2 separate regions of the Mus musculus genome follow, and region 2 is reported to be linked to region 1. Evidence: microRNA targets listed by miRTarBase, many of them from high-throughput screens and not tested one by one. Region 1 holds a microRNA gene; the other region holds the end of a gene's coding sequence.
The links. The annotated mature microRNA mmu-miR-208a-5p reads GAGCUUUUGGCCCGGGUUAUAC and lies in region 1 at 1,544-1,565, opposite strand. An mRNA with a match to its seed (bases 2 to 7 or 8) in the 3' UTR can be bound and repressed. Matches are read on the target gene's strand: a 7mer-m8 pairs with bases 2 to 8, a 7mer-A1 pairs with bases 2 to 7 and ends in A, and an 8mer does both.

Region 2: the mRNA of H2bc21 is a reported target of mmu-miR-208a-5p. Seed matches in the 3' UTR shown: 8mer at 1,545-1,552.

The regions. Positions count from the first base shown.
Region 1 is chr14:54,947,564-54,951,948 of GRCm38, forward strand. Mir208a (microRNA 208a) reads right to left here and starts at 1,579; the gene lies at 1,497-1,579. It overlaps Myh6 (myosin, heavy polypeptide 6, cardiac muscle, alpha), which reads right to left. Exons shown (of 39, transcript NM_001164171.1): 26 at 2,701-3,090; 27 at 2,489-2,615; 28 at 2,282-2,400; 29 at 1,775-1,971; 30 at 1,049-1,232; 31 at 729-894; 32 at 518-642. It overlaps Gm52092 (a long non-coding RNA gene), which reads left to right and starts at 3,477. Exons shown (of 3, transcript XR_003950992.1): 1 at 3,477-3,951; 2 at 4,034-4,145; 3 at 4,359-4,385.
Region 2 is chr3:96,220,955-96,225,339 of GRCm38, forward strand. H2bc21 (H2B clustered histone 21) reads left to right here and starts at 118. Exons shown (of 1, transcript NM_178214.4): 1 at 118-2,784. The coding sequence starts at 212. The coding sequence ends at 592.

The DNA of each region.
Region 1 (4,385 bases):
CACAGTAAAGGTTGAAGTGTCTATAGCCCTAATCCCGGGCTGTCCCAAGTTCTTAGAAATGCGCAGCAAGCATGGCTAGTAAGTGCTTGACTGTGTTATTTTACTCAGTCTTCATAATTATCATATACATAATCCTATGAGGTTTATACATTAATTCCATCTTATAGATGAGGGCAGCAAGGCACACAGAGGGTCTCAAGACAGGGTTCAAACCTAGGTCATTTGACCCTGGAGCCTGTGTTCCTACCCAGTGGTTTGAGCTGATATTATGATAGCCCGATTCCAGCCAGGAAGCAAGCAAGCCTTCTGTCCTACAAACCAGACTGTGGCATTGTACAATGTGAGGAACTCAACTTTGGGGGAAGTCATTGTTCCTGGGTATCTAAGAATACCCATGGTGACTGTCTACTAAGAATGGGAGCCAATAGATTTGTGTCCTGGGGTCAGGGTGACTTCTGTGAGGCGGTAAGACAGGATACAGCAGGACAGGCTGGAGAGTGCCTAGTTAGGCCCTTACCTCAGCCTCCTCCAGGGCTGACTGCAGCTCCAGCTTCTCCACCTCCAGCTGTTTGCGGATCTTCTCCAGCTCGTGCACGTTTTTCCCCCCTTCTCCCAGCTGTTCAGTCAGGTCTGAGATCTCCTCTGAGGATCAGAGGACCAGAAAGATCAATATGCCTTGCCCCACTTCCCTTTCCCTGAGGCTCTTCCCTGTCCCCCAGCTCGCCCACCCTGGAGGTTCTTGTTCTCCCGCTTGAAGGTCTCCAGGTGCTCCAGAGACTCCTCATAGGCGTTCTTGAGCTTGAAGAGCTCTGTGCTCAGGGAGCGCGCCTCCTTCTGGGAAGACTCCAGCTCTGACTGCGACTCCTCATACTTCTGCTTCCACTCAGCCAGGATCTGCAGGGAAGGAGCGCCCTGTGACCAGAACTGCCCAGGCCCCTCTCCTGACTCAGCCCTCCTCCCCCACCTCCAAGGAACATGCTGTGGCCTTGAGCTGGCACTGACCCCACCAGCAGCATGCACAGTGTCTGCAGCCCCACCGTGAGCCTACCTTGTCAAAGTTCCTCTGCTTCTTGTCCAGGGCTGCGGCGGCGGCATTGGAGCGCTCCACGTCCACCATCAGGTCCTCGATCTCATTCTGCAGCCTGTGCTTGGTCTTCTCCAGGGAGGAACACTTGGCGTTGACGGCCTCCACTGCCTCCTCTGCATCCTGCAGCCTCTGAGCCAGCTTCTTCCTGTCCAGGGGAATGTATGTGACTGTACTTGGAGCCACAAGGACGTGAGATGATCTCCTCCTTCCGAGTGTTGATGGGAAAGACCCAGCTTCTCCCCACAGTTCCCTAAGATGTTGGAACCCCAGCCTAGAGGATGTGAGGGCTACTGGAGCCTAGAACAGAGACGTCCATCACAGGCTGCTCAGACTCTCCCACACATACATCACATCTGTGTGACTGTGCACCCCCACCCGCTTCCCTCAGGCCCAGGCTGCATGATGATAGCTCCTCTGACCAACAAGCTTTTTGCTCGTCTTATACGTGAGTGTCAGGTATAACCCGGGCCAAAAGCTCACCCGTCAAAGGAAGTAAGCAAGGGCCAGCCAGGCGTTACAGGTTGCAGGACTCAGGCTTTCTACCAAACACTCCCATGGCTCACCAGGTCTCCCCATCCTCTGTTCTCCCACCCCAAAGCTCTTTCCTGCATCTACTCTGCCTGTCTCCACAGCAGACGCTCTGCTCCATTCTCTTGGCAAATCCAGGGGCAGCCACAGTGGACTCACTTGGCTTCCTCCAGCTCCTCCGTCCTCTGTATGGCATCCGTCTCATACTTGGTCCTCCACTGGGCCACCTCTGAGTTGGCCTTGGACAGGACACGCTGTAGCTCAGCCTTGGCCTCCATTTCTTCTTCATACTGTTCCCTCAGCAGGTCACAGTCATGCCGGGATGATTGCAGTGCGTGGGCCAGGGCGTTCTTGGCCTGGGAAGAGGTGGGCATCAAGGAGATTGGAGCAAACCCAACCCTCCAGTCTCTAGATTCTTATGCGTATTTACTTCAGTCAAGACCCAGATTCACCCACATGAAGTGGAGTCTCAATGTCTTTGAGTGATTTCCATTTGCCTACCTCTCTCCTTTACCAATAAGGAGTCATTAAATGATCAGGAGGGCTGACCATTTAGTAGGGAGATAGGTTACCAGGTTACCTCTGGCATCCAGGTGCACTCTTGGAGGTAACAGTGTGTCCAGTGATGCCACGGAGTCTGTCCCACTGCCATTATATGGGCCTCACCTTGCCTTCCTCCTCCAGTTGCCTCTTGAGGTCCTCCATCTGCTGGGTGTAGGAGAGCTTGCCTCGGGTCAGCTGGGAAATCAATGCCTCCTTTTCTTCCAGTTGCCTAGCCAACTCCCCTGCAGGTGGAATGAAGGGTTCTTGGGCCATGGAAGGGGGAAACCAAAGCTACCAGGGGCAGGCTAGGGGACGGTAAGGGGCACCCACCGTTCTCTGTCTGCAGCTTGGCTCGCTGTGTGGTGAAGTCATTGAGGGAGCGCTGGGCTTCTTCCAGCTTCACGCGGTACTCATTGGCCTGGTCCTCCAGTGTCCGGGACACTTTCTCCAGGTTGGCCTGCAGGCATTAATGAGCAGAGGAAAGGTGAATGTGGAAAGGGCCACGACTGGCAGGGAGGAGGGGAGCTGCTGAGAGGGCCCACCTTGGCCTTGATGATCTGCTCCATGTTGGAGGTGACGTCATCCAGCTCCAGCTTGAACTCGCTCTTCTCTTTCTCCAGCTTCTGCTTCACCCGCTGGAGGTTGTCGATCTGCTCGCCCAGCTCCGCCACGCTGTCAGCATGCTTCTTGCGCAGGGCCGCCGCCGTGGCCTCGTGCTGCAGCGTGGCCTCCTCCAGGTCCCGCCGCATCTTCTGGAACTCGGCCTCGCGCTTCTTATTCATCTCTATCTGCACGGATGTGGCCCCGCCTGCCTCCTCCAGCCTCTCACTGATCTCCTCCAGCTCCCGGGACAGGTCAGAGCGCAGCTTCTCCACCTTAGCCCGGGCTGTGCGCTCTGCCTCCAGCTCCTCCTCCAGCTCCTCGATGCGTGCCTAGCCAGGGATACAAAGGATCAGACCTGCTTCCTGGACCCCTCCCTTGAGGCCCGTGCTCCAGGGCTCTAAAAGGCTCCCATGCGCACTAAACCTCTAGCACGGGTTTTCAGCTACTAGGTATAGCTGGTGATGGCTGGAGACATTTTAAACTGTGTGGAGGATGCTATAGAAGCAAGGGACATTGCTAAACACCCTAGAATAGAAAATTGGCCGAAGCCAAAGTTTGGAGGATTTCCCTAAAGCATCTGAGATTCAGTTTGAGCATCTGCAGCCTAAGTGTTGAGCATCTGTGTTTGGAGCGGGATCCTGAGATCTCCTGAGATTATGAACCTCAGACAGCCAACAGTTTCACCTGACTCTGATCCACTGACTATAAGGCAAGGAAATGAGCACTCGGTTTTTTTTGTTTGTTTTTTTGTTTTTTTGGTTTTTTTTTTGTTTTTTGTTTTTTTAAACTAACATTTGTAGCAAAGCTGCCTCAAGAACAACCAAATCCTACTGCAATTATCTGAGCTAACCATGAGGTCTAATCACCTAGATTCCCCATGTCATGGATTCCTTAGGTATCCTAGGTCCAGGATGTAGCTTGATTGCTCCTTTCCAAGCCAAGCTATGTATCAATAAGATGCCCTCTTCTTCATACCCCTACCTCATTGGTGTGGCCTTAGACTTGGTCCTGACTAAATCTGGAGTATGCACATTTGCCATTTTAGCCTTTTGTCTCTATAGGGAAAGTTTGTGGAATTCTCTCTCTCTCTCTCTTTTTTTTTTGGTGCAATGGACAATTTTAATGAACTACAGAGTAGACCCTGAGGTAGGAGAGAGGGGACTTACACCTCTGCTCTCAACGTGGAGAAGGTAGGACTTGAAGCACAGATCCTACACAGAAGAGGGAGGGGCCTATAGACGCAGTGAGAATAATGACATTATTATCTCCTAGAGGCCAAAGAACTTGCCCAGACTTATGGCAGAAGATGCAGGGGATGGCTCAGTATTCTGGGTAAAATAAAGAAGATGGAGCCAAGATGGGAACAAACCACACATGAGTGCTGGTAAGCCTAGTTACAGCCTTACTGTCATTGTGCAGGTGAGAATAGCGAGTGCCAAGGAACCAGGGTGACTTACTCCACAAGGAGGAGTTAACTGTATGCAGGGATGCCTGTGGCCCTCAGCCTGTGTTAGAGGCTGAGGTTAGTATTCAAGGATTGTGAACAGGGCAGTCCCTGGGACGCGGATTTGTGAGCGTTTCCCTCATCCCTATGCAGAGAGAGAGAATAGAGCGGATTGGAGAA
Region 2 (4,385 bases), not on the chromosome of region 1:
TTTCATTGGTGGTTATTTGGCCCCTGAGAAGTCCAATGAAATCTGAAATTTTAGGCTTGTACTGAAAACGCAAGTTTCGCGTATGGGCCAATGGAAATTAAAAGTACTTTGAGACCTAATTTGCATAAGGCGTTCATAAAGGGCTCAAGTCCTCCGGGTCCCTGGTTGATTTTCTACTTACTAGACTGTTTTCCACTGTTTGCTTTTAATCATGCCTGAACTGGCCAAATCTGCCCCGGCTCCCAAGAAGGGTTCCAAGAAGGCTGTCACCAAGGCGCAAAAGAAAGATGGCAAGAAGCGCAAGCGCAGCCGCAAGGAGAGCTACTCCATCTATGTGTACAAAGTGCTGAAGCAGGTGCACCCGGACACCGGCATCTCGTCCAAGGCCATGGGCATCATGAACTCGTTTGTCAATGACATCTTTGAGCGCATAGCAAACGAGGCTTCTCGCCTGGCGCATTACAACAAGCGGTCTACAATCACATCGCGGGAGATCCAGACGTCGGTGCGCCTTCTACTGCCCGGAGAACTGGCCAAGCACGCCGTGTCGGAGGGCACCAAGGCCGTCACCAAGTACACCAGCGCCAAGTAGAGGCCTCCCTGGATGAGGCGCTCGCTGGCCCCTTTGATCTTTTAAAGTCTCTTTTAGTGAGTCACCCGCTCAAATCAGAAGAGAGCTTTGCCACTTGCATTAGTTTCTAGTTCCTATTCCAAAGTTACTCCAAGGGTCTTGAAAAGGGTACACTTCAGAAGTTTTAAGCCTTTGTGGTTTTGAGTTCCCCTGTGGGTATCTGTTTGCAGTTTGCTGCACCCTACTTAGCTTCTTGGAGTTCTTTTTAGACTAGGATAATGGAGGTGGGTCTCTGGGCCCGGTTTCCGTGTTCTAGGCTTTTGGGGTACCATTTACTTGTCGACTTAAAGTGAGATGGTTTCCTTACCCTGGCGAATAGAGGGCTCCAGGACACAGCTAAGACTGTGTCGGCGAATGCTGGGTACCAGCCATCTACAACTGAAACCGCTCTGTCCCTTTACTTGTGTCCTGGGCACCAGCGGTTACGGGGTACTTAGGGTGGTGTCCCTCTAATTTACTGATTTACAAACACGAATGTTCCACGTTGCTGCCGATTTGGTAGAAGTCGGTTATGGTTCTCTATCAGGCTTTAAAATCCCTGTTCGAGGCTTGCTTGGTTTGTTTTGTTCTGTTTTTGTTTTTCCTTTTAATTCTTTGCTTTAACCTCTGCAGTGCCAGATTACCGCAGGCTACTGCTGCTTCTCTGGGCTCATGAAGCGATCTTTCGAATCCACACACGCAGGAATTAGCTTTTTCCCTCCTGTCGTGTCTCCAGGAGAAGTTGTCTCAAGTTCCCTTTGCTTTCTTATTTACACTGTTGCTGATCAAGCTGGGTCTGACAGTTTTATACCTCCAGAGCCCACCAGTGCCTCAACCACAGCAGATGCTACTTTTAAAATTACTTATTGAATTCATTTTTATACCACTGCTTTTTTTAAAATATATTTTTATTAGGTATTTTCATTTACATTTCAAAAGCTATCCCAAAGTCCCCCTTACCCTCCCCACAACACTCCCCTACCCACCCATTCTTGGCCCTGGTGTTCCCTTGTACTGAGGCATATAAAGTTTGCAAGACCAAGGGGCCTATATCACTGCTTTTTAAAATTACTTATTGAATTAATTTTTATATTAAGGCGGGGGTGGCAGAGGCCTTGTCCATTTGATGTATGTGAAGACACGTTGGAAAGGAAATGTTTTGGGGATTTTTTTCCCAAATTTGTCTTTAGTTATCGTTACTGTGGTAGCTGTTCTTGGTTCTTAGCCCAAGCAGCTGGGTGCACCTGTGAGGGATTTATTTTTTCTTAGTTCCATAATTTGAAATGAGAAGAACCATTTTTAATCTGGTTCTTTCCCACCTTTAATCTGGGCCACGCCAGCTGGCAGCTTCTATTAAGGACATGGAAGAAGGAAGCTTGTTCTTTGCCTGCTTGCTGGAGATGGCAAGTCTGTTCCTGAACTGGCATTAGAGCCCTACTTACTTGGGATTCTGCCATACACTGAAGACCGGCTGAGACACCCAGCCTTGTGGACTGAACAACTACTGGATTATTGGACCTTCCGTTGGGTGACAGCCATTGAACCCCAGCCATTGAACTCCAGTAAGCCATGTGTTTGTGTTCGAGTGTGTGTGTGTGTTTACTAGGGACTGGCCGTAATAGTTCCCTTAATTTTGACAATTTAGAGGAAGCTCTTGGGTTTGTATTAAATGGAGCATTGGCCTTTGGGAGAGAGACATTTTACTGCCACCATCCCCATTCTTAATTTTTCTATCCTCTACTAAGATGAACTTCCAATTTACAATTGTCCCAATCATTTACATTTCAGAGGGTCTACAGGATAGGTAGGTTATGGAGCGAATAGTGAAGGTAGTAGAAGCTAAATAGGGAGGTCCGTAGGCCAACCCCTGCACCAATACCATCCACTCTTGTCTCCTACCTGAAGACAACGGCCTTGGTTTTCTTTTGTGGGGAGTGTAGCATACTGAGTTTTTCCTTTGAAGTCTTGATTTTGTTGGTGAAGATTCTTGATGGTCTGATTGCTTTCTCAATTCTGCTTTGTGGTAAGGGTTATTGGAGCTGATTGCAGGAGCTTTGTGGATCCAAAAGAGAGTTCCAAACATTGTCATAGATCGAATAAATCCATTCACTGCATGTGCATTTTCAAGTGGGTAGACACTGTTATTATTATTAATAAAGTTACCGATTAGTTTCAAATCTTTGCTGTATTGTTTTCTGTGCAATTAATTTTCTCAAAAAAAAAATAAAATGAGTAGATATAGCCATTTGTGGTTGGGCTTGTGGAAAAGCTGGGTGCCTTTGATTTGAAGGATTTATAAGCCATTAGTCAGAGCTTAGGGGTGTAGCTCGGAAGGTTTGGCCAGAACGCCCTGAGGCCTTAGGTTCAACCCCCAGTACATTAAAGCACACACCTGCTTCTAGCTGGGCATTACTTCAGAGGTGCATTGGGGTTAGAATATCTACGGCATGGCCATTGTTAATGCCTCGAGATTGAGAAATAATGACCACAAATAAAAAGTATTACAAACAAGAGAGCGTGAAATAGAATCCCTGGTAGTTTAGCCAACACCTGTGCTAGGGAGTGTTCTAAGCCCTCTCAAAATATTGGCTCATTTGATCTTCACTGGGAACTTTATGGAGTAAGTCCCATTATCATCTCCCGTTTTATAGCTAAGGGAACAGGCATGACACTGCTTTTCCTCATAAACTGTTTAGAGAGTTTAGTTTTCTCAAGTCCCCAGTTTAGTTTTACAGGACTTGAGATGGTAGGATTGCTCCCCGAAAACCTTGACCCCGCCTCTCATTTGGGTAGAAGGGGTTGAAGTATCCACACGTTACCCTCTCTGCTTTAGAGATGCACCCTGCATGGAGATCCAGAAGGTGGTGGCTAACCTTGGGAATGGAATTGGGGAGTCTGACTTTCCATCCCAGAGGCCACAGCTCCAGCCAGAGGGAGGGGTTGTGGGGGGAAGTATTTCACCAGCTCAGAACCTCTCACCAGCACAAGAGGCTTGGAGGCTTATTTGGGGCTTCTCTTGTGTTTGTATGATGGTCTTGTGGCAGACACAGGTAAAGAGAGTATTAATAGAATCTGGTGTTTTTACCCTAGAGGAGAAATTATCAATACAGTGAGATCTCACAATACACCTCTCTCCCATTTATTTCCTTTCCTTAGGTTAAAACAATTGCTATAAAAATAATTGCCCTAGTCCTCTCCTGTACTTTCTCCTTTTCTTTTTGAATGTACCCCAATTTTAGGCAATGATAATTCCACAGAGAAGCACAGTAAGTCCCCCCAACCCCCAGTTGAACTTATTGACCATCTGACTATGCCCGTCCTCTGCTTAGTGGTTTCCATTGTTGCAGTCTACTCTCCACAGCTACCCTTTAGGTTATGTTTCATTGTTGTCTTTATGTTACAAATGGTGGAAACAGCCTTGGAGAGCTTAAACGGTTTGTCTGGGATCATCTATCAAGTGGTAGAGTTGCAATCCAACACACGCCTTTTGGTTATTTTGAGACAAAGTCTTGATATGTAGCTCAGACTGGCATCAATCCTGCAGGGACCCCCACTCCTTCCAGGCCACCCAAGTGCTGGACTCCAGAAGGCAGCCACCACCTCTGACTCTAGCATAATCAGAGATTATGCTAGAGTTCACTTGTGGCACACATATCAGAATCTTTTTCTATCTACAATATAATTGTAAACCCTGTTGCCCTAGTCTTTCCCGCAACTCCTGTACTTTCTCTTGCTTTCCCCAATTTTTTGATTATACCCCCAACTTTGGGCCATG